Linked DNA regions of Elephas maximus indicus. The protein of the gene in region 3 binds, or shares a complex with, the protein of the main gene of each other region. Links are inferred from orthologs where the notes say so. Each region holds a gene or a part of one and is shown on either strand. Other genes may lie near its edges.

Region 1 (6,972 bases), on a different chromosome or scaffold from region 3:
AGCATTTTTGTTATTTGCCATGTCTGTAGATGGCCAGCTTTACCCGTTATAATTCTTATGATTTCACTCTTGGAAAATAGCCTTGTGGTGCTTCCTGATGCCTATGGTAGTGGTGGTGTTGTTGGCATAGAGTCAGTTCCCAGTCACGGTGACCTTACATGTAACAGAACAAAATGTAGCTTGGTCCTGTGTCATCTTCATGATCTTTGACATGCTTGAGCCCATTGTTGTGGCTATTCTGTCAATCCATCTCATTGAGGGTTTCCCTCATTTCTGCTGACCCTCTACCAAACATGATGGCATTTTTTAGCAGTTGGGTTTTTTCTGATGGACGCCATAGACATCAGGAAGCACCACAAGGTTATTTTCCAAGAGTGAAATCATAAGAGTTATAATGGGTGAAGCTGGTCATCTACAGACATGACAAATAACAAAAATGCTCAGAAAATTTAAAAAGACAGCCAGCTCCAAGCAGGCTATAAAGTGATCCAGGTTCTTGGGTCATGGTATAGTTGAAATAGATGGTCATGCCATTCTTGCTTCTCAGGAGCATTCTGTATTTATTGCTTCTAAGACTGATTTGTTCATTCTTCTGGAAGTCCATAGTATCAGTCAATATTCTTTGCCAATACCATAATTCAAAGGCATCAATTTGCCTTCTGTCTTCTTTTTTTTCATTGTCCAGCTTTCACATGCTTATGAGGTGATTGAAAAGACCATGACTTCGGTCATAAAATTACCACCTCAAGATTGTCGTTAGCTGCTGTTGAGTCTGGCCCTGACTCATAGCAAGCCCATGCACAATGGATCAAAATGCTGCATGGTCCTGTATGGTGATTGGCTGGGATTGGACCATTGGGACCTACAGAATTTTCATTGCTTGATTTTCAGAAGTAGATCACCAAGCCTTTCTTCCTAGACCATCTTAGTCTGGAAGCTCCGCTGAAACCTATTCAGCCTCGTAACAACACACAAGCCTCCACTGAGGGATGGGTGGTGGCTGTGCTTGAGATACATTGGTCCTGAGATACCAGGTCTCCCGTATGGAAGGGTAGAATTCTACCACTGAACCACCACTGCCGTCCAACCTAGGGGTTTATTTATTAGGTGCTTAATGCCTGGTGGTTCCCTTCTGTTTTTTATACAGTTCTCTCGTTAACAAATCCCGTGTTATATAATAAAAATGTCTTACGGTTTTGTAGCAATTTATAGTTCGCAAAGTATTTTCCAAGACATTGTTTCTTTTCATCCTGACAACAGTTCTGCCAAGTGTATAACACTATTATGCTCATTTTAAAGATAAGGAAACTGAGGTCCTAAAAGCTGAATTAGTTTACCTAAGGTCACAATGAATCACTTTTATACAAGGGATTATTATAATCCAGGTCTTCGGTTATTTATTTTTCTCCACCACGGCCACTCTACACTCTGCTACCAGTGGTTTTTCAGGGAGAAAAGAAGTAATGGCAAGACTGGAAATGAGAATCAGGGCCACTGGCCTAGGTTACAGAATAGTATACAGTTACAGTCACCAGACCCCAAGAATAATGTCCTCTCAGCACCATCTAGAACCAATTCCATTCCCCCTCTGTGGCTGGAACTTAGATGATCTAAAGCAGGCTTCTATAATTAGGGTTTCAATTGCCCTTGGCTTACTGAACTTGTAAAAATTTTTCCACGGCCAGAAAACCTTCACAGAAGTCAACCGCTGTGGCCTGAAAAAATGAATCAACCCTGACTCACTTGAGAAGCTTTACAAAAAAAATACCAATGCCCAGGTCCACCATCAGAGATTTTGATTTAATTGGCTTGGCATGGAGGCCCAGGTGTCTGCATCTTTTAGATGTTTCCCAGGTGCTTCTAACGGGCAGCCAGGCAGGGCTGAGAATCACTGCTGGGCAAGCAGTATATAGATAGATGTGCAGTAGGAGATCAAATGTTCAGTTTAACTTCTTTCTACTCACAGCACCTACTCTAGAGACCAGTGAACAAATAACCATTCACAAAAGACTGTTGCTGTTGTTAGTTCCCTTTGAGCCACTCCAACTCATAGCAACCTTATGTATAACAGAAAAAAAATGTTGCCCGGTCCTGTGCTATCACAATGATTGTTATGCTTGTGTCCCTTGTTTCAGCTATTGTGTCAATCCATCCCACTGAGAGTTCCCCCATTTTTGCCAACCCTCTGCTTTACCAACCATGATGTCCTTTTCTAGCGATTGGTCTTTCCTGATAATGTGTCCGAAGTCTCACCATCCTCACTTCTAAGGAGCATCATGGCTATTATTTCTTCTAGGACTGATACTTTCATTCTTTTGGCAATCCACAGTATATTCAATATTCTTCACCAAAAGGTAGAAAAGGATAAAATAAGGGTTAACCAGGGGTTTCACCAGGTGAAATCCACGTGAAACTGTGCATTACAGATTAGTAAGTAAGCACAAGTAAGCCCATGCTTACCTTGCTTACTGGGTAATCCGCCCCCATCAGGGGATTGTAAATTTGAAAAGAGGCTTTGATTCTGTAGGAAGGTGCTATGGGGCTGGGAAAGAGATGCCAGCGATACCCAGAAGCAGAATCTTTGATGTGAAATTATTCACTATGATGATCTGGTAAGCATCATGCTTATCTTGCCTATTGGATAATCCGCTCCTGGAGATAACCCAAGTGCCAGCGAGTTTGTTTCAGTAAAATGGCAATTCCACCTGTGAATTCAGGGAAAGCATCACAGAGAACAGTTCTCTTGAACTGGTATTTAAACAGCAAAGTTCAGACAAAGTCGCCTGTAGACACACCACCCTATGCAGTGGTTCCTCTTTAGCCCTATAAGGTAGGAGTCATTTAACCCCAATTTACCACTGAGAGGAAACCCTGGTGGTGCAGCAGTTTAGTGCTATGGCTGCTAACCAAACAGTCAGCAGTTCGAATCCACCAGGCGCTCCTTGGAAACTCTATGGGGCAGTTCTACTCTGTCCTATACGGTCACTATGAGTTGGAATTGACTTGATGGCACTGCGTTTGGTTTTTGGTTCTTGGTTACTATTGAGACGACATAAGTCCAGAGACCTGACCCAAGCCATGCTCTTTTTAATCGCCTTATATGCACGCGGAAGCTGGACAATGAAAAAGACCAAAGAATTGATGCCTTTGAATTATGGTGTTGGCTAGAACATTGAATATACCATGGACAGCCAGAAGAAAGAAACAAATCTGTCTTAGAGGAAGTACAGCCAGAATTCTCCTAAGACGTGAGGGTGGTGAGACTTAAGCTCACTTACTTTGAACATGTCATCAAGAGGGGCCAATCCCCGGAGAAGGACATCACGCTTGGGAAAGTGGAGGGTCAGCGAAAGAGAGGTAGACCCTCAGTGGGATGGATTGACACAGTGTGGCTACAACAATGCGCTCCAACAGCCACGACTGTGAGTCTGGCAAGGTCTGGGGAACCTTTCGACCTTGTTACACACAAGGTCGCTGTGAAAGGTAGCCAACTCCAAGGCACCTAACAATAACAACAAGATCCGGAGACAGTGAAGAGGCTTTCCCAATTCACACAGTGTCAACGGTTGAGCCTGGAGGTAGGCAGGACTCAGGATGTTCAGTCAGGGCCTTTAAAGGAGTGGTTCCGACCTCATCAGGGTCAGAGCCCCACGCCCCGACTCTTTCCAGCGACTTCCGGCCTGAATCCCCAACTAGACCCCGAGCGGGTAAAGGAAATCTCAACCTTGACCCCTCCTCCGGGGGAGAGGGGCGGGGCAGCCCTGGCCCCGCCTCTGGAGGAGGGGGTGCGGCAGCCTTGGCCCCGCCTCCGGGTGGGAAAGGCGAGACAACCTCGTTCCCGCCTCTGGGCGAGAGGGGCGGGGCGGCCACGATATGCCTCCGGATAAAAGGGGCGGGAAGTCTTGTTTCCGCTCTAGGAGGAAGGGGTGGATGGCGAAGAAAAATCTTTCGGATGTAGGCCACCGTGCTGCCGGACGTCACTTCCGTGCGCCGCACTCGACGTCAGTGTCAGGCGCTTACAGCGGCGGTGCGGCTTAGTATTAAAGTTTGGCCTCGGTTGGCTTTTGCGAGCTATGGAAAGTGACTTTTATCTGCGTTACTACGTGGGTCACAAGGGCAAGTTCGGCCACGAATTCCTGGAGTTCGAGTTCCGACCCGACGGTAAGGGCGGGCCCCAGGCTGTCCGCAGCGGGGACTAGGCCTCGGGGCGGGTGAGTGGGGAGGTTGGGGGTCCGGAAAGGGCAGGGAACTAGAGCTAGACCTGTGCTGCGCGGGAGTGAAAGGAACGCTCTTGTATACGCCCCACTGGTTCTGCCTTTGTGCAGGGATTCTGTTTAGTGACTTGTGCTTCTAGTTTAGAAAAGAGTGCTCTTGCTGTCGAGTGCAGAGTGGGCAAGAGGGGAAACAGGGCTACTTATCGAGGAGTCATTTACAGTTGTCAAAACAAAAGGGTTGTTGATTGGAACTAGGGTGATCATAGAAGTGGAGAGAAGGATTTAGAATACTCTTGGAGGCAGAACTAATGGGGTGTTGCTGATTGATAGAATTTGGGGAGGAGGCGCTGTGGTGAAAGAAATGAATCAAACATGACAGAAAACTTCTACTAACTGGGAGCACAAAGATGGATCAAACAAGCCCTGATTGTGAGGAAGACGAGCAGTGACAAACAGTGTATTAGGTGCTTTGGTAGAAAGAAACAGAGGGGGCACCTAACCTATACCGAGGTTCGGGGAAGTCTTCCTGAATGAAGTGATTTGAGAGGGGAGGAAGATGAGTCTTTAGGAATGTATAAGAGTTGGTGAGAGTCAAGAACGCATTTTGGAGAGCATTAGCAGCAGACGATCTGAAAACTAAAAAATGCATGGGATGTTTCTTGCAGAAACCAAGTAGTTTGGTTAACTCCAACTTTGTAAGAGGAGAATATTGCAGGAGTGAGGCTGGAAAAGCCGGAGGGGGCTCATCTTAGCAGTATGCTGTGCTGAGAAACTTGGATTTTTCAGAAAGGCAGTGGGGAGCCATTGGTACTATGAAAGCACTAGAGTAATCAGGTCTGTTACTAGATCACTTTATCCACCGCATGGAGAATGAGTTTAAAGGTGAAAGGCAAGAAACAGTGCAGATGTTGTTGCAATAAATTTAGCTCGTTTTACATGTGTTTCTTCTATTCTACAGGGTAAAAACCGCGTCTTCTATTTCTTTTTATCTTCTTTATCCCCCAGCATATCTCCAGCTTAGCTTGTTGAATGGCACACATGGAGGCTCACAAAGGGCCTTGTATACTGCACGCGCTCAGTGATAAAAGCACAACATTTCCATCACAGGAATAGATCAGAGGGTTGCATGATCATATGATAATATATATAACCAGCATTTTACAGATTTCAAAATGCTTTCAAAACTCATTTGGGCCTCAGGAGGCCCTGTACGCAGGTAAGTTATCAATTAGAGTCCCTATTTTCAAGTGAGGACATTAACCCATAGAGATGTGATTTGCCCAAGCTCACAAAAGAGCCTGCCTGTATTCTGTTAGCACACCTGAGCTGCCTTTTGCAAGAAATATAGTTCAGTGTCAGCTATAGTTTTGGCTGTGAGGCTGTTTAATAGCCTAAAGTGAAGAGCTAAAAAGACTAGTATTGTTGAAACACCAAAGGTTTAAATAGTAAATCCGTTAGACAATTTGAAGAGAAAGTTGGAGGATACATTTTGAGCAACAGCTGATAGTATTGGTAGCTAATGATGCTTTGGTCTTTTGTTTTCATTGTACACTGAATTTGTTTTTTGCTTCTCACAGGGAAATTGAGATATGCCAACAACAGCAATTACAAAAATGATGTCATGATCAGAAAAGAGGTATGAGCCTTCTGAGAACCCTTCATTCACTGCAGTTCAGCCCTTTGCCTTGTGTTGTTTTTGTTCTTCCTGGGAGTGGTATTAAACACAAAGAATAGGGCAGTAGACATATGTCTGTTGGCAGCTTCTAAAGTCTTCCTCAAATCTTCCTTTAGTTTGTGTTTGCTTTTTCAATGCTGAATCAATTACTAGTAATCATTTGGAGTCTGGCAGATCTAGGTTTGAACCCTCAATCTGCTGCTTACTAACCATATGATCTTGGGCAAGTTCCCTGGCTGAACTAGCTCAGTCTCAGTTTCTTCATCTGCAAAAGCAGGGATAATAAAACCTGTCCTCCTCACAACTCCTCAGTACTCTTGTAGAATTAAATACATTATATATAAGGTCCTCGGGGAAAGGGAGCATGAGAAAGCAGTTAACATTCATTGAATGCATGTTAGACACCAAGTCTGGCACTAGGTATTTTACATATATGACATATATGATCTTATTTAACACTAAAAAAAAAAAAAAAAAAATTTTTTTTTTTTTTTAACTCTATTGTAAGCCCATGTGATGGGTTGTATTATATCCCATTTGGTAGATAACTGCTTTCAAGTTGATTCTGACTCATGGCAACTTTATGTACAATAGGACAAAATGTGACCCAGTCCTGTAGCATCCTCAAAATGTTCAAGTGTGGCATGTTCAATTCCACTGCGGCTGTTGTGCCAATCTGTCTCACCAAGGGTCTCCAGTGCCCTCACTGGGCCCTTTATTTCACCGAACATGTCCTCCTCTAGTAATCGATCCCTTCTAGTGACATGTTTAAAGCAAACAAGTCAGACAGTATTCTGTTATGATCCGTAGTTTTTACTGGCTGGTTTTGGAAGTAGATCACTACTTCTTTATTCTTAGTCTCTTAGTCTGGAAGTTCTGCTGAAACCTATCCACCACGGTGACCCTGCTGGTATTTGAAATACTGGTGGCATAGCTTCCAGCATCACAGCAACATGCAGGCCACCATGGGACAACAAACTGACAAACGGGTGGTGGATATCCCTTTCACAGATAGATAAATGAAGCCTCAGATATTAACTAAGGGGCTTATTCTAAGTCACCCCTACTAGTAAGAGAGAGAGT
Region 2 (7,164 bases), on a different chromosome or scaffold from region 3:
CTAAGCTCCAGGGACAGGTACTGGTACTTCTCCAAGAACTTTTCAGGACCATTCTCGCCTGCATAGCATCTATTCTCTACACAGCAGTCCAGAGTGATCTACAAGATGTATCAGATTGCTAACTCTCCTGCTCACAGTCCTCCCATCACTTCCCAGTGCCAACAGAAGGCAATCCAGCCTCCTTCCCATCGTCTGTACGGCTCTTTGGGAGCTCTGGTGTATGTCTCTGACCTCCTTTTGGACTTCACTTCTCCTGGCCCTCCTGCACCCAGCTTTACTGGCCTTATCTTCCTAAAGGGCACAAAGCACTAGTTATTGTCTGTACCTGGAACACTTTGCTGGGCTTTTCACATAGTTAGCTCCTTTTCTTCCACTTCAGGTCTCACCTCCAATGTTACATCTCAGAGAGGTCTTACCTGATGGCTGTATCTTAACCTAATTGTCAGCACTCTTCCCCATTACTTTGTCATCATTACACTACATTCTTTCTCAGAACATAATCAATTTCAGAACTTAATAACGTTCTCACAAACTATCTTATCTACTTATTTGTTTGCATGCTATTGCTTCTCTCTCCCAATGGGCAGGGCTGCACTCTGTCTAGCTTACTGCTGTAACCCCAGCATCCTGCATTGTGCCTATAAGGTACGCGATAGATACTTGTTTACTGATCACACATACTATTCACATCTCGATTTTTAGTAAAAGCTCAGATGAGGAAACCCATGTTATAGAGGACTGCCCAAAGACGTTGTGGTTTGTCTTTTCCTTTTATGGTCTAAAATATTCTTACAAAAAGCAAAAAACTCTGCTCTGGATTAACCAGGCCAGCAGAGCTACCCACCTAACCACACGGGCTATTTATTGGCTTTAACACGCCTTTCTGAATTGTGATTTAGCCTACTTTCCCCTATAACAGAGATGTGCTAAGAAACAGCCCATGATTCTCAGTGCCAACAAAGGGGTTGAAGAATGACACTGGCTCCTCTTTATGAGGACCTCAAAGAGAAACTTTTTCTCTAGTGTTTAAATCAGACGAAAAGTTTGTCCAGGGTATCTAATGCTGCGTTCTGTCACCAACACTGGCTCACAGAGTGGAAAGGTCTCACCTCTTGGATGGGCCGCTAAGGGAGCCCAGCCACTTGTAGCTTTCTTAACTAACGCACCACACTTCACTTCTTGCATTTTAAAGATTGCCCCGCGTCTGGCTTCCTCCTGTTTTTCTTAGTCTCAATGTCCTTTTTGCCCTGTTTTATCATCTATTTACATTATTCTGTATTTTCTCACTATGGTGAGCTGAAGTAAATATTTTCTGGAATAAGGCATGTAAATAAATTCAGACTGAGGACCACTGCAGCAACATGCATAAAATAACATGGCTAACAGGTGAGAAATCAATTGGTTCTGGGAAAGAAAGAAAAGTAAAAAAAAAAAAAAAAACACCCAAACCCATTGCTGGTGAGTAGATTCTGACTCACAGCGACCCTACAGGACAGAGTAGAACTGCCCCATAGGGTTTCGGAGGCTGTAAATTTTTATGGAAGCGGACTGCTGCACCTTTCTCCCGCGGAATGGTTGTAACCTCAAAGGGAGAAAGATCTTGCCTGTTCATTCTGGGCTGTAATCCCAAGGCCTAGCCCAGCTAGGATAAATATTACTGAATAAATGAAACTGGAATGAAGCAAAGTTGAAACTCCTCATGAGGTTTCTGGATCGTTCACAGCCTCCCACCTCCCCTACTCCTTACCGTATCCACAAATTTGGGCTCAGCACTCTCCCTTCCATTGCCCAGCTCTTTAATATGGAGACCCTGTCTGCCCCCACTCTTCAGAAGTGGTCTCTCCACAGGCATCTATAGTTACTGGTCACCCTCTCCTCTAACAGACCCGGTGACCAAAGACCCCCTCCCCCAAGCTAGGCTCTCCCCCAGTTGCTCATCATACCTGTCCACCTTCCCCAGGGTGCCACACAATTTCTGCCCTCAGTCCCTAGACCACCCCCTGGGCCCTTCTTGACCACGTCCACCTTCCTAAGCTGCCCTCACAACTGTACACAAACTCAGCCTCTGTCTCCAGCCTCCCTCCATCCAGTCCAACCAACAAACCACCTTCCCTAGGATACACACAAATCTTTTATTGCCCCCACCCAATAGTGGCTCCTCGTCTTTCAAATAAGTCTCCAGGCACACTCCCAGATTGCCCTCCAGGCACCCCATCCACATCTATTCCTTTCAGATGACGTCCCCAGCTGCCCCTCCCCACTCCCAGTCACTGTAGCTCGGGGCCCCTTCCCAGTCTGCCCAGAGGACCCCTCCAGCTGTCGGCCTCCACACCCCGATAGCCCGCCTGACCCCTGCGCTTCCATCCCCTTCCAGCCCTCCACAGGCGCTCGGACCCCCAGCTCCATGCCCTCCACAACCCCCACCCCCCACAAGGGCTCCCCGTCACCTCGCGGGCAGCCCAGGCCTCCTCGGGGTCCCAGTCCGGCTTCCGGCCGCCCCGGCCCCACGTGGGCGCCCAGCCCCCTCCCAGCACCCCCTCTCCATGCCTTGCGCCGCCTCCGGGAGTCACCGGGGGTTTCGGGGGACACGGGCGGAGGCCAGCGCCCCCGGAAGCGGCTGGGGGTTTCGGGAGAGGCCCAGGGGCTCCGAGGGGTCTGACCGGGGAGGCCCAGGGGCTCCCGGAAGCGGCCAGGGAGGCCGGGAGTCTCGGGGGAGACCGACAGGTCTGACTGGGGAGGCCGGGGTCCCAAGGCGGCCGAGGGTCTCGGGGGAGCGGCGGGGGGTCCTGAGGAGGCGGCCGGGGAGAAAGACTAGGGTCTCTCCGGGGCGGCCGGGGGCCTGGCCGGGGCGCCGAGCGGGTCCCGGGGCGGCCGGGGGCCTCACCGTCAGTCACGGCTCCCATGGCGTGCGCGGCGGCGGCGCCAGCTGAGGCGGCGGTTGGCGGCGGCGGCGGAGGTCAAACTCCCACAATGCAGCCGGGTAAACAGCCATGGAGGAGGAGGCGCCGCCCGCGGCCGCCCTCGCCGCCGCCTGAGCCGCGCCGCCGCCGCCGCCGCGGGACCCGCGCCCCCCGCGCCTCGTGAGCCGGGGCGGCCGGGGGCGGCGCGTGGAGGCGAGTCCCGGCGGGCGGCGGCGTCCGTGCAGCCCCGGCCGCCGCCCCTCGCGCCCGCCCGGAGGCCGCCGCCCGCCGCCAGGTGAGCTCCCTCCCTGGGACCACCCCGTCCGGCCGCCGCTGGGGGGCCTGGCGCCCGGGGGTGCTGAGGGCGGCGGGGGCTCCGGGCTGAGCCGGGCGCGCGGCCGAGGGTCCGGCGAAGTTGGCGCCCGCGCGCCCGGCGGGTCTCCTCAGGGCTGCGCGGCGCGGGGCGGCCACGGGGAGGCCGGGTGCGGGGGGCGCCTCGGGCCCTGCGGCCGCGCCGTCTTCCCGGGCTGAGAGGTGCTGGGGAGCGGGAAGGGGAGAGGAACTTGTCGGCCTGGGGGGCGGCGCCCAGCACCAGCGCCGGGCACCCCCTTCCCCGACGGAGCGGGACCCGCCGGCGGCCACCGAGGGCTGCTTTCATCTGCTGCTTTGATTTTAAAAAAAGAAAAAAAAGTCTTGTGCGCCCGTCCCCGTGTTAAGGGGAAGTTGGAAGTGAAGGGGTGGGGGCCCAATGAGAAACGCTGGTTTCCGCGCAGAGTTACACGTTTCCGGAGCGCCCTGCAGATGCTGTTGGCATCCCTTCCCGAAGTCCCCCAGCTCCCACCTGGCCGAGGTGCCCGTAGGTGGCAGCGGCGCAGTGGTGAGGGGCGGCCCGGAGCCGGGCACCGGCGCAGCCGGGTTGACCTCGGTGGACCGATGGGTAGTTAGCGCAAGACGCCGGGCTGAGCTCCGAGCCGGCTCTGGTGTTTTACCGAGCCATGTCGTGACTCTCTTCCCGTTTTCTTGCCTCCCAAGTACTGTCTGCGTCTTCATATCCGGATGCAGCAGTCGTATAGGATGGATTCGGTGGTTTCAATTTTGTTGATTGTATTTTACTAGCAGGGACTGGTCCTCCCTGTTTTCCCTAGTTCTTTCAAAGAGGACGAGCTGTAAATGCAAACGTATGGCTGTAAAGTGTGTTCAATCTCTAGCTAGACGTCGGCGTATGCAAAATTTTACACACATCCACGAGTCCAGAAACTTCAATAGTGTCATTCACAGCGGTGACAGGAATTAGCACCTTCGATTTTTAAATTACCGTGAGTGAAGATTCGGAGGTTTCACTTGCCCTCCCCTAGGATATGAAACCTCCCCTGGCTTTGAAACACTATTGGGCCCAAACGCTGGCTCCACATGGCATCAGACTGTTCAGTTACTGGGTTTTAGAGAGAGGGAACGCTAACCAGAAGGATTGCTTTAAATCTTCACTACAAACAGTAAACTGAAAGTTTCAATCGATTATCTAGCCACAGTGACATTTTAGTGGGGATTGTTGTTGTTCAAAAGGTAATTGTCAAGTGATGAAATGATGTTTTTTTAAATTGTTACTCGGTTTTATCATAATACTGATTTTGAAACAGTATCTAATGGTTTAAAATAAGCTTTAATGTTTTTATAGGAATGTGTTACTGCCCCTCGGAAGTATTTTCACGAGACATTCTGTCAGTTTTTCACAGATAGAGCCTTGCAGACACTTTCAGAAGTTCAGTTAGTAATTTATAATTTTGTTGGACAGAGCTCAGAAATTTCTAATGTATTAATACCAAGACTTTAAAGGAGGACTTCAAACCTGTTTCTTCTGTTTTGAACCCCTGCTGAGAATTTGCATTTCCACCCCAGATATACTGAATCAGAATCTATAGTTTAACAAGATCCCCTCGTGATTCTTATAATAAATTTTGAGAACCACTACTCTGCTAGTGATTCTCAGAATTGGCTCCTAACCAGCGGCCTTAGCCTTGCGTGGGAACTTGTTAGAAATGGAAATTCTCAGCAGGGTTTTGAACCTGAAGTTGCCTGTTCAAAGACCTGCTTTAACACTTTTGTGAACCAATTATTTTCTGCTTTGAATTTTTTATTGATAGTATGTTTTCATTAAGGGAAGCGTGCCGAATCATTGAGTGTATCTGAATTTTTGGTGGGTAGAATGGATTTTTTTTTCCTTGCCCCCTCCCACAAAAAAAAGCCTACTCTAAATGTTCAGCAGTGCATATGAAGTAGCGTTCGTTAATTATACCCCAGCGTCCCCAGTGGGGCCTATTAGTACATATATGTAACAAATAAAAATTTTCAAAATTTGTTTTTCCTACCAGAAATTCAGACACTTTGTACAATACCCTGCAAAAACAGTAATTGTTGCAGGACACTCCCGTTTCCTCACCCTCAGACAGTCCTAAAGACCCCTGCCTTTCGGTGGCACAGACTGTCAGTGGTCCAGCAGCTTCCCATAAACGTTCAGAGGCAGAAAAAAGTGCTTGGTCCCTACAGGTACCTGTGAGCGTGAAAGGGTTAAAGTATGAGGTGTACTTGAAAATAAACATTCCTGAAAGTTCTTGATTCAGTAGTGGGAAACACAACATAATGTGAACCTTTATGGCCTCTTTAAAATCTCCTTTTCCAGCTACATACTTTAATTCACAAGTGCATTGACACAAATTTGTGTTGAACATTTAAGAATTTTTCTAATTGCTTTGTCTTCATATTGTGTGTGTATACATGCACGCACACACGTATGCATGTATGTTAGAAAAACAGTTTATAGCAAGGGAAGATATTTTAGTAAATTTTAGAAGTTCTGTTTCTAAGGAGGTGTCTGTGGACAGAAACACAGAAATGGAAGTAGCAGATTTTAAGTTATAACAAAACTGATCTGGACTTTGAACTTGTATGACCTTAGATTTAGTGACTTTGATTTACTCAAATCATTCTGTTTTCTTTGAGAGTATGAGGGGCTAGTCAAGGAGGTTAGTCTGAGTCTGCATTTACCATTTACCTTCAGAAAGTGTAAAGAATGATGAGGGAGCTGGCTGGTGGCTTCACCCTGGGCCTGTGAAACGATGAAGGCGTTTCTGTCATACGCTTTTAGAAGAAGGGTTATTCTATTTTAGAAGAAGGGTCTGTGGGCCTCCAGGAACCCATGAGTGGACTTGAAAGGATTCCTGAAGCCTCTGTAGTTGTGACCAAAACTTTTTTTGTGTATGTGTATTTTTCTTGGGGAGAGGGTCTGTCTATACCTGTTTTATAAAAGAGATCCAGGGGTCAAAGTGAGACATACCTTTTTTATTAAATAGAATGGAAGTTAAGAATACTCATTCTTAGGAGAAAAGAATTAAGAAAAAGTGGATCTTTGTGCTCAGTACTTGCCTTTTAAAGCTGTCTTCCCCCAGCCAGGATGTCCTGGAGGTGCAAAAACTCTTGGGTTTCTTCCTACAGGAGAGCGTTGCCAGCAGTTGATAGGCCATGCATACACACAGAGGGCAAGCCAGCCTGCTGTGCCAGTCCTGGGGCCACTGTGGCTGTTTTTAAATTATATCTAAAAATTCAGACCAGATAATTGACAATGGATAAGCAGAGACATGAGTATGATGCCAGCCCTTGGAGTAAGTGGTTCTTTCAGCTCCATTCTCTTTTTTGCTCTTCTAGCAAATTTGAAATTTGCCTAGGAAGTAATTGTCCTAAGAAAACACATTTGTACTTTGGCAGGACTGCAGAGCATGATGGGGAAAACATAGTTTCTGTGCCAAGGCGGACCTCAGTTCAAATCTGGGCTCCCCCATTCACTGTAGCTGCTCTACCTGCTTTACCTTCCGGTACCTCATTTGAACAGCGCCCACCTAATAACGTGTATGTGTTGGAGGGTGGCATGATGTTTTCTGTAAAAAACTTTGAGCTCCTCATTTGGCCTATAGGAGGGACCTGGAAGCTAGGTTTGGGTAACATTTGCCACAACAATCAAAAATAAATACCTGAGCAAACGTGAAAAAAAGTAGAGTCATGTTATTTGATAATAAGTTATTAAAATTGGTATGCTGAAAGTATTAAGTTAAAACATTTCAAGAAATTGGATTTAAAAAATGAATTAGGAACAAGTGGTCCTTGCAGTGTAGACACCTGGGGGAAGGTTGAAGGAAATGGTGTGGTTAGAAAAGCTGAGGACACTGATGCTGGGCAAAAAGAGACAGTAGCGGCTCCCTAGCATCTTGACTGT
Region 3 (6,992 bases):
ATCACATTCCAGTCCAGATGCCACCATACCCTGGGGTCCATGCAAAGACTGGAAAGGGTCTCTCTGTGCCTCAAATGCTGCCAACAAGGACACAAGCATGAAAACACTGGTGGAGAAACAAAAACAACCCCACCACACCTCATCCTTCTTTTCCTGTCTAGGCAGGTGGGCTGTCTGGTAACCTGTCTGGGGTTCTGGTGGGTAGAGAGGTGTGGGTGACCTCACAGAAGAAGGACCGGTACCTTTGTCTTTACGACTACAGCCCCGCACTCAGAGGTGTACTATGGCAGTTCTGAGAAGGCTTCACAGAAGTGAATCTTCCGGAAGGAGCTGAAGGAGGGGAGGGATGTAGCTTGCTGGATGGGGGTTCACAAGAGGTTGGTCCCGATGTGTGGGGCAGCATGAGAGGTGGCAGAATGGAAGAGAGAGACAAAGGGGCAAATGCAAAGTGTGCTCAGCCACGGGGAGGGAGCCACATTTCTATATGACAGGTACCAGCCCCAGTGCCACAACGTAGGATCTGGCCCCTCTCATCCTGGTCCAGGCTGATACTCACCGTCCAATGGCACGCCATTGTACTGTTTCATCGCTTTCAGGGCATCCGCCTTCCGCTCAAAGTGCACGTCAGCGGTTCCTAAACTCCGGCCAGACCGGTCATAGTGCACTGCAGCCTTCTTTAAAGTTCCAAATTCAGCAAAGAGTTCCTGGAAATCAGGAAAAACAAATTAACAGAAAAGCTGTGTCCCAAATACAGTTCCTGCAAGTGTGATCTGCTCTGGGGTGTTTCCCTGGGAGACAAACATATGCAAGACAAGGTAGCGGGGATGGGAACTGGGGCGGGGGGGGGAGGGGGCTGGCAGACAGCAACTTCCTACAGCAGGTGGGTCTGAGGGCCCCTGTCGGCGTTGGGAGTGGACATCGATTTCATGAGGCAGGTGAAGGAAGTTGCAAAGTCCACTATGAAGGACACAAAATTAAGTCACGATTATCTCAGACCAAGGAGACGTCCAATCAACAGCAAAGGCCATGATCACAGAGCAAGGGAAGCTGTCCACACAGTGGAGCAGCCTGGAGGGCACTGACGGAGGAGCCCTGACCCCAGCCCTCCCCCAGGCAGGTTCTGGCTCACCTTTCCCTCTCCTCCTACTCAAGCCTGCCGCAAAGGCTGAAGTCAAGCGCTGCCATGGTAACTGCCCTGACCTCAGGCAGGCTGGGAGTTGGAGAGGGAACCCAGAGAGTGGGGCTACTCCGGCCGCAGGCACACAGCGGGAAGTGGAGTTCACCAAAAGCGGTTTCCAGTGGATGCCAGAAACCACCTTAAAAAAAGTGTTGAGACACTGTGAGTGCTCACCAGCCTTGCTCTGTCCTTCCATGGCAAAGTCACACGGCTAGACTCTGGGAAATTGAACCCAGAAAGGCCCAACACCCTGACCTAGACATCTGTAAAACTAAACCCAGAACTTACTCCTTAACCAAAAAACCAATTTAAACATATTTGGGATTCAATTAAAAAAAAAAAAAAAAAAAAGCCACGGGCTTTGACCAAACACGGTTTGAGAATCATGCCACAGATGAGACGTGGCGAGTGCTGACAAGTGAGACCAGGTTTACAAAAAGCTATACAATAGGACAGGACTCAGGCAAACATGACAGGAAAAACACTGAAGGAAGATCCTCCCGCTACACTTCATTCGTTTTAGCAACAAATTTTCTAAATCCCAAATCATCATCATCAAAATCAGCACAAAATTAGAGCAAGCAGCGGGGTCTGTCACTGATACCTGAGACCCATTCACATTTTAACCAATCCTTTCCCTGCTACAAGTTGGAAGCTCTAGCAGGGGCTCATAAGGCTCACAGAGTGCGTTTCAGTGCTCAGAAGTAGCTCCTCAGACTGACACAGTCCTATCTGCAAGCACAGACGGGCCTACTCGTGGAACTGTCAACTTCAACACAATCACTGCTTGACACTATGTTCAAGCTACAAAGTGGCCGCTAACACGGGCACAAGGCGATCCCGTGGTTAGCTGGGAGGGCTCACTTTTCTAAGGTGGGAAGGGAATTCGGGGCCACATTTCAAACTGTGCAACTCTGCTCAACGAGAATCTCACGTTCCTTACCTGAATATCAGCATCCGACACTCCAAAATCCAGATTTGACACCAGCAGTTTCCCACCGGTCTCCACGCCAGCACCGCCCCCAAAGCCGCTGTCGAAAAGGTCGTGTTGCCATTTGTCTGGCAATTGTTTCGGCTGAAGGGGACGAAAAACCCACAAAAACAGAAATAGGCCCGTCAATCGCACTCCAGGCCTCGCTCGCGACTACCACAGACCCTCTCTCCTCCGGGTCTCGGGGGCCCCAGCTCCGGGGGCTGCCGTCGTCCCAGCCGCAGGCCCCATGGTCCCGACGCGGCCACACAACTTCTCAGTTCCTTCAACTAACTTCCCGCCGCCGTCGCACCCAGCGCACCCTCGGCTCCTGGCCGTTACGAGGCCCCGGGGCCCGAATAAGACAAACGACCAGAGAAGGTCTCTGTCTCCGGTATCTGCCCGGGTGGCGCGCCCTCGCCCCCGCCCACACCTCGCGGGCGCCGGCACCCGGGTCCGACCGCTCCTTCGACCCCTCTCCGCCCCCGGGCCCGGCCAAGCCGCGAGCCGCTCCCGCCCGGCTCACTCCCGCCGCGTCCCCGGAGGCTGGCTGTCCGGCTGCCCCCTACTCACCCGGCTGTACGGCGCCGGCCGGTTCCTGCCGCCGCCGGCTGCGCCGCGGGCAATGGCCGCTCGGTTCCTGATGGGCCCGCCGCCTCGGTTCACTCGCGCGGCGCCCTGCGCTCCGCCGCCGCGGCCGCCCTGGGAGCCGGCCCTGCCGCGGCCCCGGCCCCCGCCGCGGCCGCCGCGCTGGCTCCGGTTCAGTTTGATGATGTCGTCCAGAGACATGTCCATTTTGTCGGCCATGGCGGGCGCAGAATCGGCCTCGGCTCGAGCCCGCGCGTCAGCACGCCGTAGCGTCACTTCCTTCGTCGCGCGGGGCCTTCTGGAGCCGCGGCCTCGGAGCGGCTGCTGATTGGCTGCGGGCGGGTGGCTGAGCTCACGGGGCAGGGCGACGCAGGCGCACTGGCGCGCAAAGCTCCGCGGGCGCTGCTCGAGAAGTGGCAGGCAGCGGCCGCGGTCGTTTTTAGACCTTCCCGCGCGGACGCCGGCGCTGCCAACGGACGGGCGGGCGGGGCCGCGCCGATTAGGTCGTAGAAGGTGCGCGGGTTGGACGGCAGCCGTTGGGGGCGGGGCCTGGGCGGGGCGCCCTTTCCCACGCAGCCCCGCCCTTTGCCGGCCTCGGGTCGCGCTGCGGAAGCCTGGGCTTGGGGGGAGGGGGGGCACTGGGGCGGCTGGGCTCGGGTTTGGGGGGCTTCTGAGGCGAATGGGCTCGGGAGGCCGGACTGGAGGGCGGCCGAGGTGGGTTCCCGACGTGGCCGGGGAGCTGAGGCCTGACTTGGCAGCGGGAACGCCGAGCTTCCTTGGGCGGTGACTGGGTCGTTACCTGCATTTCCCACCTCCCCGTCCACCCTTCCTGACGATTCATGTCTGGGCACTTTGTCATCTGGTTCTGTCGTCAGGTACTGGATTCACCTCGGGCTCAGCCCCGAGGCGGGTGGAGGCCCGGAGTAGACGCTTGATTTTTTTTTTGGAGTGGTGGGGGAGGATTTCTGGAGGTGAAAACTCACACCGAACTGGAATTTTGGCCTCCATCTGTAATGCCTAAGCTGGTGGCTCTCATTGTTTGCTAATCGCGTCATTTTAAAGAGTATTGTTTGGCATAGTTTTACAGTTCTCTAGTGGGAACCAGCAGACCCTTTTATGAGCTTCAAGGTATAACTCGAGGTCCGTGAAGGCGTTCTAAATGTGGTTGGCAGAATGGAACGCTGGACAGACTCACGCTGTCCTAAGCAGGATCTGAGGCTCCTCGGGTGCTGAGTCTTCTTCCTTGGAGATGGGTCTCCAGCTTTCTCCTTTGATTCTAAAAGGGATTCCTAGTAGATGTTTCTTGACAGCGGAGTACCACCTCTGTGCACCTTTTCCTGCCCTCTGAGTGGAGCTGCACCCCATTTGCCAAGCCACTCACAGCAGTGCTGACCCTCTTGGATAGGGCAAATATTCCTTCTTTGGTGCCCAAATGTTCCAGCTCTGCATACTAAATTTAACAAGGTAATCCTCTTCCCCCTAGCCTGAAGGCTCCAGGCCATGAAGGTGAAGATCAAGTGCTGGAATGGTGTGGCCACTTGGCTCTGGGTGGCCAATGATGAGAACTGTGGCATCTGCCGGATGGCCTTCAACGGCTGCTGCCCAGACTGTGAGTACACCCCTGCTCTGTCATGAGCTCTGTCTGCTGGCCTTTCCTAGTAAATACCTGCATGCAATCTCTGGGTGTTAATATCCCGTCCCTGAAGAAGAGCTGACATCTAAAAAGCCAGGCAGTTTGGGCCCATGTTTGTATAATCCAACCCACGGTTTTGAAGGAAAAAGCATGCAGCCTTGTGATGTAATCAGACTCAGCTGTAAAACACACAGATCAAAAACAGGTGTTAAAACTTTTTATTTGATCGTTTTCAAACAGACTAGAGTGGTATCAGCACACACATACCCATGTAGCACATGGTGTTGACAGGTAATGGTATTTTACCACTTTTGTTTCACTTTTTTGCTGAAGTATTTTAAGGTAAGTCATAAACATTTTGATCTCTCACGTCACACACTTCAGCCACATCTTGAAACCTGACTCGCCAACTTCTTCTCCAGAGACAGCACTTTGGTCACTTCTGACAACACAGCAGTAATCCCTTAGTGCCGCCCGGTACCTCCTCCTTGTTCAGATCGCTCTAGTTTGTCCCCAGGTGGTTTTGTACGGCTGAGTGGTTTGAACCAGGATTCCACATTACATTAGGATGCGTTTACTCTTAAGTCTCCTTGATCTAGAGCAGTTCCGTCCTTTTGGGGCAGGCAAGAGCCTAGTATCTCACTAGAACTTGATTTCTTCCGGTGAAATTCAAGAGATTGGGTTTCAGTACAAACAAGATTTTATTCCAGGCTTGAGCTCTTCGTCTGCCTGGCCAGAAGGAGATCTCATCACTTGGGATTAACAAATCCTGATCCCATCAGGCTGGAGGGATGGGATTTGATGGGATCGTTGATTGACTGTCCTTAATCAGGCTGTGTTGTTGATTGTTGGGTTCAGTCAATTCTGACTCATGGCAACCCCATGTGACAGAACTGCCCCATAGGGCAACCTAGCAGATCACAAGGCCTTTCTCCCGAGAAACTGCTGGGTGGGTTTGAACTGCCAGCCTTTCAGTTAGCAGGCAGGCAGTTGACTGTTTATGCCACCTGAGTAGCAAATGAGTTTAGTAACGGAATTTCTAGAGGTTTGGTTTGATTTCATCTTTTTAAATCGCCCTTCATAAGGATGCCCCAGATACTGAAAGCCTGCAGGGGCAAGGACTTGCAGTTTCCGGAGCAAGGAAGGTGTTAACTTCTGCAAAGTCCTGGAAAGCAGCTTGAGCGAACGTGTTGTGCCTGTGCCTAGGCTAGCTGGGCATTGGTGTGTCACTGAGTCTGTGTTAGTGGTGGCCCCCCGTCCCTGCGCAGTGGTGGACGTGCACACGGCCTGAGGAACCTGGCCTGTGTGTAATCAGCAGGTCCTAGGACTTGACACCACCACACTTGTGTGATCCACTCAGATTGTGTTAAAATGGGGACTCCTTGCTGTAGAGGATAGCGACTGGGGGTCCCACCTGTGGACTGGCACATTGTTCAGCGACAGTGATCCCGTTTTAATGTGCAGAGTGTTTGACAGCTTGTCTTAATTATCTAGTGCTGCTCTACCAGAAATTGTACAAGTGGATGGCTTTAACAAAGAAATTTATTCTTTCACGGTCTAGGAGGCTAGAAGTCCAAATTCAAGGTGCCAGCTCCAGAGGAAGGCTTTCTGTTTCTGTCAGTTTTGGGGGAAGGTCCTTGTCATCAATCTTTTCCTGCCGAGGAGCTTCTCAGTGCAGGGACCCCAGGTCCAAAGGATACGCTATTCTGGCTTTTGTTCCCTGGTGGTATGAGGTCCCCCATCTCTCTGCTTGCTTCTGTCTTTTATATCTCAAAAGAGATTGAGTTAAGGCACAACTTAATCTTTTAGATTGAATCCTGCCTCAATTGGCATAGCTGTCACTAATCCCATTTTATCACATCATAAAGATAAGATTTACAACACATAGGAAAATCATATCAGATGATAAAATGGTGGATGGTCACACTATCCTGGGAATCATGGCTAAGTTGACAGATACTTTGGGGGGACACAACTCAATCTGTGACACAGGTCTGAGGTGCTGTCTCCACAGGTGATGGGGCACCAGGCTGCTCTTGATAAAATCAGAGTGGCTAAGGTCACAATAAACCACCTTATCCCAGAGAGTTCAGGCGTAAAACAACGGTGCACCTTCGGGTGAGTCATCAGTGTATTTGTCATCACGTATGTCAGCAGGCTACTTGCACAGCCACACTTCCTGCCTCCCTTGGGCCCAGAGCAGCCGTGACACCCCTACTCAGTAGGCAGGCCTGACACCCCTAGTCAGTGGGCAGGTGTTGACACCCCTACTTAGTGGGCAGGTACTGAGTGATTGGCTTTTCTCCCCCGTTGTCAGCTGTTGTGGAGCCTGGCCCTTGTTCATGGAGACCCCGTGTACAACAGAAGGAAATGCTGCCCAGCTCTGCACCATTCCTGTGATTAGTTGCAGGTCAGACAGCTGTGACCCATAGGGTTTTTATTTGCTGGTTTTCGGAAGTAGGTTGCCAGGATTTTCTTCCTAGTGCATCTTAGTTTGGAAGCACTGCCGAAACCTGTTCGGCATCATCGCAGCACCAAGCCTCCACTGACAGATGGGTGGTAGCTGCGCATGAGGTGCCTTGGCCAGGAATTGAACCTTGGTTTCCTACATGGAAGGCAAGAAT
Region 4 (7,871 bases), about 1.7 Mb from region 3:
AAACATAACTGTAAAAATGGCACAGCGGGGGCTTCTGACCTCCTCTAACTTCACAAGGGGGAAGGAGAATCAAGATCAACAGCCCAAGGCTGATTCCTATGATGTGGAGGTCAAACGTACCTCCTCTGTCCAACCTTTTTACCAATACTGACACCAGCTGTCCCTCCCAGTGCACCCTCTACTTCTCTGCTGGGTTTGATAATTCGCTGCAATAGCCACACAGAACTCACAGACCATACTCACAGTTAAGGAGTTTGTTAGAGAAGTACCAGGTTACAATTCAGGATCAGGAACAATGACTCAGGATACAGTTCTTCCATCAGGACAGTATATTCTTAGCCATGCCCAGAGGCAGGCCTCCGCCTGGCCTTCCTGCCCCACTTGGGTAAGTGTTACAAAGCTCTTTAGCTCCGCCAATAACTGCCCGGGGACACCCCAATCCACCAGCAAGCCAGGCCCAAAGGTGCTCCCCAGCTTTCTTGCTCCACTGGCCAGCGCACCCACTGTAACTGCCTAACTCTGTGGGCTGGTAAGGCCACTGCGCCATCTCATTCTACCTCGTGGTTCTGCTGCTGCCATTTCTCTGCCACCACTTCCTGCTGTCCCTCACATTACAGTTCTGTCTCCTGAGTCTAGGAGGTTCTCAGAGCAGTGATCCTGGGTCCAAGGAACAGATTCCACGCTCATCCCTTCTTGGTGGTAGTGACGTCCCCCCCTTTCTGCCTCTGGGATGGCTCATTTTAAGCCTAGCGAGATGGAAAAAACTGACCAATCCCCTTGTTAGGGTTCTATACACTTTATTTGCATGGTCCCCCCCCCACACACAAGGATGCCATGCACTTTATTTGCATTATTAGCAAGCTATCCAATCCCCTTGGTGGGCCACTAGCAACTCATTTGCATAGTTCCACCCGATCATTTGGTGGGAGTTACGAGACCAAGCAGTGTTTTGCTTTATTGTACACACGGTGGCTACGAGTCAAAACCAATTCGAAGGCACCTCCTAAGACCATGAAAAAAAAGCCATGTAAAAGCAATCTACTGCACAGCAGTCAGCCTCAGCACAGGCCCTGCTGCAATGCTGCCCTTTCACCCCGGGGCCTCAGCTCTGCCTCTTCACCGTCTGATTGGTGTCATGTCGCTGAAAACAGTCTGGATAAAACACGTCTCGGTCCCATGCTTTGAAAACAGACCACCTACCTTGTTCACTGATAACTCATATCCACATGCCCACCCTGACCTCTGTCCTGGGCTCCAAACTTGCACAGACAACAGCCCACCCAACACCCCAATGGATGGATCCTAGGCCTCTCAAGGTCCCCACATCCAAGACAGCATCCCCAGTTCTGCCTCCCTCAAGGGTTCCCCACCTAGGCAAGTGGCACCATCATCCACCCTGTTCCTCAAAACACCGAGGAATCAAGCTCGAGTCCTCTTGCCCTCTGCCACTTACATTCACTCCATTAGCGAATCCAGTCACATTGGCTCTACTGGTCTTCTCTGTCTCCGTGACAACACCATCACCTCTCACAGGGACTGGAACAAAAGCTTCCTAACTCATCCCCTGCTTCCACGCCTACCTTACCCCCCCAACTCCCAGAACATTCAGAATGCTCTCCTAAATTAAATTCAAGCTCTCTATCACATCACACAATGCTCTCCACAACTGCCCCGACTACCTCTCCAAACTCACCCCTGGGCTCCCTTCTGTTCCTGGAACACTGGCCTCAGTCAGGCTTCTGGGCCTGGCACCGGCTGTGCCCTCTGCTGGGAATGCTCTTCCACAAGCAGTCTCCTCACGGCCGGCTCCTCAACTCAGGCCACACCTTAAGTGTCACCTCCTGCTGGAGACCTCTTACCTATCTTCTCTTTTTTGACTAAAACTGCCCTCCCCTCCCCTCCCCCAGTCACTCCCTAGTCAATCACCCAGCTTTATGTTCTTCACAGCAATTACAACTGTCTGAAATAGCTTCAGTTATTGTCCCTCTCACAGATACAATTAAAGCCCCCTGACGTGGGAACGTGTCTGCTTCTCCACCTCCCCAAAGCCTACATTGGCGCCTGTTGCCTAACACTTGCTGTTGCTGGGTGCTGTGGAGTCAATTTCTGCTCATAGCGACCCCATGCGCCAGAGTGGGGCTGTCCCACAGGGTTTCCTAGGCTGCACTGTTTACCGGAGCACATCGCCAGGCCTTTCTTCCAAAAAGCCGCTGGTCTTTCAGTTAGCAGCCGAGCGCTTAACCACTGCGCCCCCAGTTCTTTGCCTGACACCTAAAACTAGAAAAAAATTCTTTGCCACACTGAGTCTATTTTGACTGATAACGACTCTACGGGGCAGCGAAGAACCGCCTCCATAAGCTTCCCAAGGCTGAAATCTTGACAGAAGCAGACTGCTACATCTTTCTCCCGCGGAGTAGCTGGTGGGTCAGAACCGCCGACTTTTCCGTTAGCGTCCGAGCGCTTAACCAATGCGCCACCAGGACTCCGGCCTAACACCTAGTGGGTGCAATGCACCCAGAACGGCTGTGAGGTGCTTACTGGACCGAGCACGGCGCTCAGCACTGAGAACTGTGTGAACCGACACCGACGCTGCTGGCGGACGCGCTGGGGGCGTGGAATCGCGCGTCCCGAGTCCCGACCCCCGACCCCGACCTCTGGGGCAGGTCCGGAAGGCCCGTCCGCCCTAGTGCCCCCGCTCCGCTCCGCTCCGCAGCGCGCCAGCCCCCCGTGCGCCCCGCGGCCGCTCACCGTAGGCGTAGATGCCGCGCAGCAAGTCCTCCCGTAGGCCCATGGTGTCGAACGTGGGCGTCACGTCCACCTCCTCGCTCGTCTCGAACTCCACCTTGGTCATGTCTTCTTCTTTGAGCAGCCGCTTCCGCGCGGAGCCCGAGGTCGCCATCGTGGCCGTGGCCGCCATGATTGCGAGTGAGCAAAGACGAGCGGGCGCGCTGCGACGGCGGCTGGTCCGAGGCGGCAAACGGAAGCAAAGACCCGCTGCGGCCTCCGACAGGAAGTGACGCCACCGCTCGCGCCTGCCTGTGCGTGCGTGCGTACGAACGCGGAACCGGGCCGCGCCTGCGAGGGGCGGGGCGCTCTCGGTCACGTGAAAGGGGCGGAGTCGCTGTTCTCGCGCGCTCTGGAGATCTCGCGGAAAGAGGCAGTACAAGTGGCTCGGAGGCTGCAGGAAGTGGGCCTGGCGGTGCCCGGCGCGAGTGTGTTGTGGGTACATTCCTACCCAAGGTGGGGCAGGGTCGCGTTAGTGGGCTTACCCGAGCTGCAGGGTGAAATTGCCCTAAATTACGGTCACTACGTATGGCAGCCGCGAGTCGGCGTGAGACTGGAGACCCTGGAGTCAGGCAGAGGGTCGGCACCCGGGCACTTAGGCAGGGTCTCCCGGTGATTCCGCCTTGAGCGGAAATAATTTGAGTATGACTCTCTAAAATATGTATATTTACTCGTTTATACGTTTTAGGCTGATGTTATTACTGGCTAATATCTCACCGTGTGAAATTATTACCAAAGCCAGATGGAAATCCATATTTCAAATCGCTGACATTCGGAAACTTTTTGAGTTTTTAAACTGCCTTTTGTCAACTCTGGTTATGTTGCCATTTTTTAATCTCCTAATGCGACTGATGAAAGCTCCTACCAGAGTTTAGTTGCTGTTGAGCCAACAAAACGTTGCTCGATTCTCCGCCATCTTTTTGACCGTTGATTTGTTCAAGTCCGTTGTTGGGGCCGCTGTGTTAGGAGTGCCCTCCAACCTAGAGGGTTCATCTTCCAGAGCTCCCTTTTCACTATACCATTCAGTGGCATTAATTACATTCGCCCTGTTGTGGAACTGTCACCACTATTTGTTTCCAAAGCTTTTTCATCACCCCGAGCAGAAACTACCCCTTCAGTCGTAACTCCCATTCTGCCTGCCCAGCTCCTGGTAACCACTAATCTGCTTCTGTCTGTATGCATCTGCTGATTCTAGATATTTCCTATAAGTGGGATTGTATAGTATGTGTCCTTTGAGGGTACCGTTTGTTCATAGAAAAACCCTCTTCTTTTGAGAAGGGCCCTATTCTCCCCACAATTACTCAGACCCATCTGTCTTGAGTGATGACAAAAATAAAAGATCTGTTTTCTACTATACGAACTTCTAGCTCTGAGTTCCCTAAGCATGGATTTATTCTGCTTGTTACCCCTGGGCCATTCATCCCAGCCTCCTTGATGTCTCAAGAGCAACAGACACCCGGGTCACTGAAGTGGACTTACCCATTATGTTCAGGCTCAGCACCTTCTCTGTCTCTTGCCCCTCACTCTCCACACAGCTTATATTTTTCGAGGGGCAGGAGGTGTCTCACCTGATTAGACTAAAGTCAGGAGGACAAGGACCGGGTATGTGTTGCTCACCATTGTGTCCCAAGCATAGAGTTGTTAGGTGCTGTCTTAGGCTGGGTTCTCTAGAGAAGGAAAACCAATGAAGCACACACACACGTACATACATATATTATAAATATAGAGAGTGAGAGAGATTTATCTCAAGGAAATGGCCCTTATGGTTGTAGAGGCTGGAATGTCCCAAGTCTATGGGTCAGGCTGGTTGCTTCTGACTCACGTAGCTGCAGGGGCTGATAAATCCGAGATTGGCAGGTAAGATGAATCCAAGATCGGCAGGTAAGAGCAGGCTGCTGGCCCAAGTCCCAAGAACTGGAGGTCAGATACTGATGAGCTGAATGCAGGGTCCAGGGAAGAGCAAAAACCAGTGAGCTTTGCCAGAAAGTCCACATATATTGAACATAAGGCACACCCCCAAGGAAGCTCCCTTTCAACTGATTGGCTACTTACAGCAGATCCCATCACGGAGATGATCATATCGTATCAGATCTCATCATGGAGGTGACTACATCATACAAATACCATACTACATCATAGCTCCCAAACCACTGAGAATCATGTACCAGCCAAGTTGGCACAAAACTGTAACCATTCCAGGTGCCTTCCAGTCAGTTCTGACTCATAGCAGCCTTATGTACAACCGAATGAAACACTGCCCAATCCTGTGCTGTCCTCACAATCATTATGTGTGAGCCCATTGTTACAGAAACTGTGTCAATCCATCTCGTTGAGGGTCTTCGTCTTTTTCACCAACTCTCTTTACCAAGCATGATGTCTTTCTCAAGGAACTGGTCCCTCCTGATAACATGTCCAAAGTACATGAGACAAAATCTCATCATCCTTGCTTCTAAAGAGCATTCTGGCTGTACTTCTTCCAAGACAGATTTGTTTGTTCTTCTGGAAGTCCATAGTATATTCAATATTCTTCACCAACACCATGATTCAAAGGCATCAATTCTTAGTCAGTCTTCCTTATTTACTGTCCAGCTTTCACATGCGTATAAGGCAATTAAGAATACCATGGCTTGGGTCAGGAGCACCTTCATCCTTAAAGTGACATCTTTGCTTTTTAACACTTTAAAGAGGTCTTTTGCAGTAGATTTGCTCAATGCAATACATCATTTGATTTCTTGACTGCTGCTTCCATGGGTGTTGATTGTGGATCCAAGTAAAATGAAATCCTCGACAACTTCAGTCTTCTCTCCGTTTATCATGATGTTGCTTATTGGAGCTGTGAGGATTTTGTTTTCTTTATGTTGAGGTGTAATCCACACTGAAGGCTGTGGTCTTTGATCTTCATCAGTAAGTGCTTCAGGTCCTCTTCACTTTCAGCAAGCAAGGTTGTGTCATCTGCATAACGCAGGTTGTTAATGAGTCTTCCTCCAATCCTGATGCGCTGTTCTTCTTCATATAGTCCAGCTTCTCAGATCATTTGCTCGGCATGCAAATTGAATAACTGTGGCGAAAGGATATAACTCTGATGCACACCCTTCCTGATTTTAAACAATGCAGTATCCCCTGGTTCTGTTCAAATGACTGCCTCTTGGTCTATGTATATGTTTCATGTGAGCACAGTTAAGTGTTCTGGAATTCCCATTCTTTGCAATATTATCCATAATTTGTTATGATCCAGATAGCATACACTAGTACTCAGTAAATGCTTTTTGGCTTGCTGACTGTGTGATGCACAGGGCGAGAGGAAGGGGGGATACAGGGCACTGCCTCAGGAACTTCGTGAACACACACAGGGGCTGTGGGCAAAGCGGGAATAGCCACGTGGCTCCACCTCTCAAGAGCTGGCTGTCTCTTTTCCTGTATCCATGTTGACTCTTGGGATCTGGTGGAGAAGGTTAAGGTGGCTGGTCCTGTCCAGAAGCAGCAAAGATTTGAGTGTAGTGCTGCTCTCTGCGCTGCGTTTTGCATGAGTCATCACTGCACGAGGTGATGCCCTAGATAGAAGTAACCTTGACCCCAGAAGATGTCCCCACTGCATGACTTCCTGCCATAGGTCCCTGCCCACCACGGGGTGTTGAAGGACAAACACTGTTCCTTTCTAGGCTCAGCCCTCTCTAAACCCATCTGGCTGGGGTGGGCACCTTACAAGGCACTGACTGAACCCACCTTGCTTCTGCCCCAACTTCTGCACTCCTGCACTTGCATGAGGTCACTGGGTGGAACAAATGGTTTGTCCTCAATGACTAATTGAAAGGCTGGCGTTTGAACCCACCCAGCAGTGCTGCGGAAGAGAGGTCTAGCGATCTGCTTCAGTGAAGATTGCAGCCAAGAAAACCCTATGGAGCAGCTCTACCTGGTAACACGTGGGATTGCCATGAGTCAGAATCGACTCGATGGCAACAAGTTTGGTTTTGGTTTTGGCCCTCGCGTAGGTCAACCATCCAGGCAACAGTGACCCATTGAGCAGGCGCTGTCCTGGATGCTGGACTCAGCGGTGAACCAGACGGACGGCACCTTCCCTCACAGCACATACATTCCAGTGTAGGGCAAGACTGACAAAGCACCCAAACAAATAAGATTGCTGCAGGTTCCATAATTACGGGGGAGAAAAGGCAATAAGGTGAAGTGGAAGAGAGGAACTGGGTAGTCAGTTTATCCAGGTGGCTGGAGGAAGGTTGACTTGAGGGGTGGTGGACAGAGTGTTCCAAACAGAAGGAGCCATGGGTACAAAGACCTGGAGACAGGCATGAGACGGGACATACACCCAGAGGGTTGTGGCATAGTGAATGTGGGAAGATTGGGTGGGGGCATCAGGGAGTAAGGGAAAAGTGAGCAGGGCCTGATCATAAAAGATTTTATAGCCTATAAAATGGAGTTTACATTTCATCATGGTTGCTGTATGAGCCACTTGGTGGTGTTCCCCCGCCCCACCACCTCTTTGGGAGGAGGGGTTGTATTAGTTCCCTAAACCCAAAACAAGCAAACCCATTGCTGTCAAGCTGATTCCAACTCATAGTGACCCTATAGGGCTGCCATAACAAAATACTACAAAGTGGGTGGCTTACAAGAACAGGAATTTCTTGTCTCAATAAATTAATTGTTTTAAAAAAACAAAAAAAGGTTTATTCTCTCACAGTTCTGGAGGTCGAGAGTCCAAGATCAGGGTGTTGGCCACACTGATTGCTTCTGGGGCTCTGAGGAAGAATCTGTTCCCGCCTCTTTCCTGGCTTCTGGTAGCCGCAGTCCTTCCTTGACTGCAGCTGCAGCATCATAACATGGCATCCTTCCTCTGTCTCCTGTCTCTTCTCCTCTTTTATAAGAACGCCAGTCACATGGGATTGTTGTTGTTGTTAGGTGCCGTTGTCGAATCAGTTCCGACTCATAGTGACCTTATGCACAACAGAACGAAACACTGCCCAGTCCTGCGCCATCCTTACAGTCGTCGTTACGCTTGAGCTCATTGTTGCAGCCACTGTATCAATCCACCTGTTTGAGGGTCTTCCTCTTTTCCGCTGACCCTGTCCTTTACC

Evidence for each region.
Region 1: ALYREF (region 3) and MAGOH share a complex: the UniProt entries of both Homo sapiens proteins name them as parts of the ALYREF/THOC4-EJC-RNA complex. The link is inferred for Elephas maximus indicus from reciprocal best matches to the Homo sapiens genes ALYREF and MAGOH.
Region 2: ALYREF (region 3) and THOC7 share a complex: the UniProt entries of both Homo sapiens proteins name them as parts of the transcription/export (TREX) complex. The link is inferred for Elephas maximus indicus from reciprocal best matches to the Homo sapiens genes ALYREF and THOC7.
Region 4: ALYREF (region 3) and EIF4A3 share a complex: the UniProt entries of both Homo sapiens proteins name them as parts of the ALYREF/THOC4-EJC-RNA complex. The link is inferred for Elephas maximus indicus from reciprocal best matches to the Homo sapiens genes ALYREF and EIF4A3.

The regions. Positions count from the first base shown.
Region 1 is NC_064821.1:96,524,029-96,531,000, reverse strand, and holds the start of MAGOH (protein mago nashi homolog), read left to right. Parts: upstream 1-3,959; 5' UTR 3,960-4,073; coding exon 4,074-4,161; intron 4,162-5,791; coding exon 5,792-5,850; intron 5,851-6,972. UniProt on the Homo sapiens protein: Required for pre-mRNA splicing as component of the spliceosome. Plays a redundant role with MAGOHB as core component of the exon junction complex (EJC) and in the nonsense-mediated decay (NMD) pathway.
Region 2 is NC_064838.1:69,157,918-69,165,081, forward strand, and holds the start of THOC7 (THO complex subunit 7 homolog), read right to left. Parts: upstream 3,018-7,164; 5' UTR 2,904-3,017; coding exon 2,885-2,903; intron 1-2,884. UniProt on the Homo sapiens protein: Component of the THO subcomplex of the TREX complex which is thought to couple mRNA transcription, processing and nuclear export, and which specifically associates with spliced mRNA and not with unspliced pre-mRNA.
Region 3 is NC_064837.1:71,682,365-71,689,356, forward strand, and holds the start of ALYREF (THO complex subunit 4), read right to left. Parts: upstream 3,011-6,992; 5' UTR 2,955-3,010; coding exon 2,721-2,954; intron 2,253-2,720; coding exon 2,121-2,252; intron 705-2,120; coding exon 557-704; intron 1-556. Other genes in the region: ANAPC11 (anaphase-promoting complex subunit 11), read left to right, coding at 4,236-4,344. UniProt on the Homo sapiens protein: Functions as an mRNA export adapter; component of the transcription/export (TREX) complex which is thought to couple mRNA transcription, processing and nuclear export, and specifically associates with spliced mRNA and not with unspliced pre-mRNA.
Region 4 is NC_064837.1:70,016,960-70,024,830, forward strand, and holds the start of EIF4A3 (eukaryotic initiation factor 4A-III), read right to left. Parts: upstream 3,009-7,871; 5' UTR 2,918-3,008; coding exon 2,749-2,917; intron 1-2,748. UniProt on the Homo sapiens protein: ATP-dependent RNA helicase. Involved in pre-mRNA splicing as component of the spliceosome. Core component of the splicing-dependent multiprotein exon junction complex (EJC) deposited at splice junctions on mRNAs.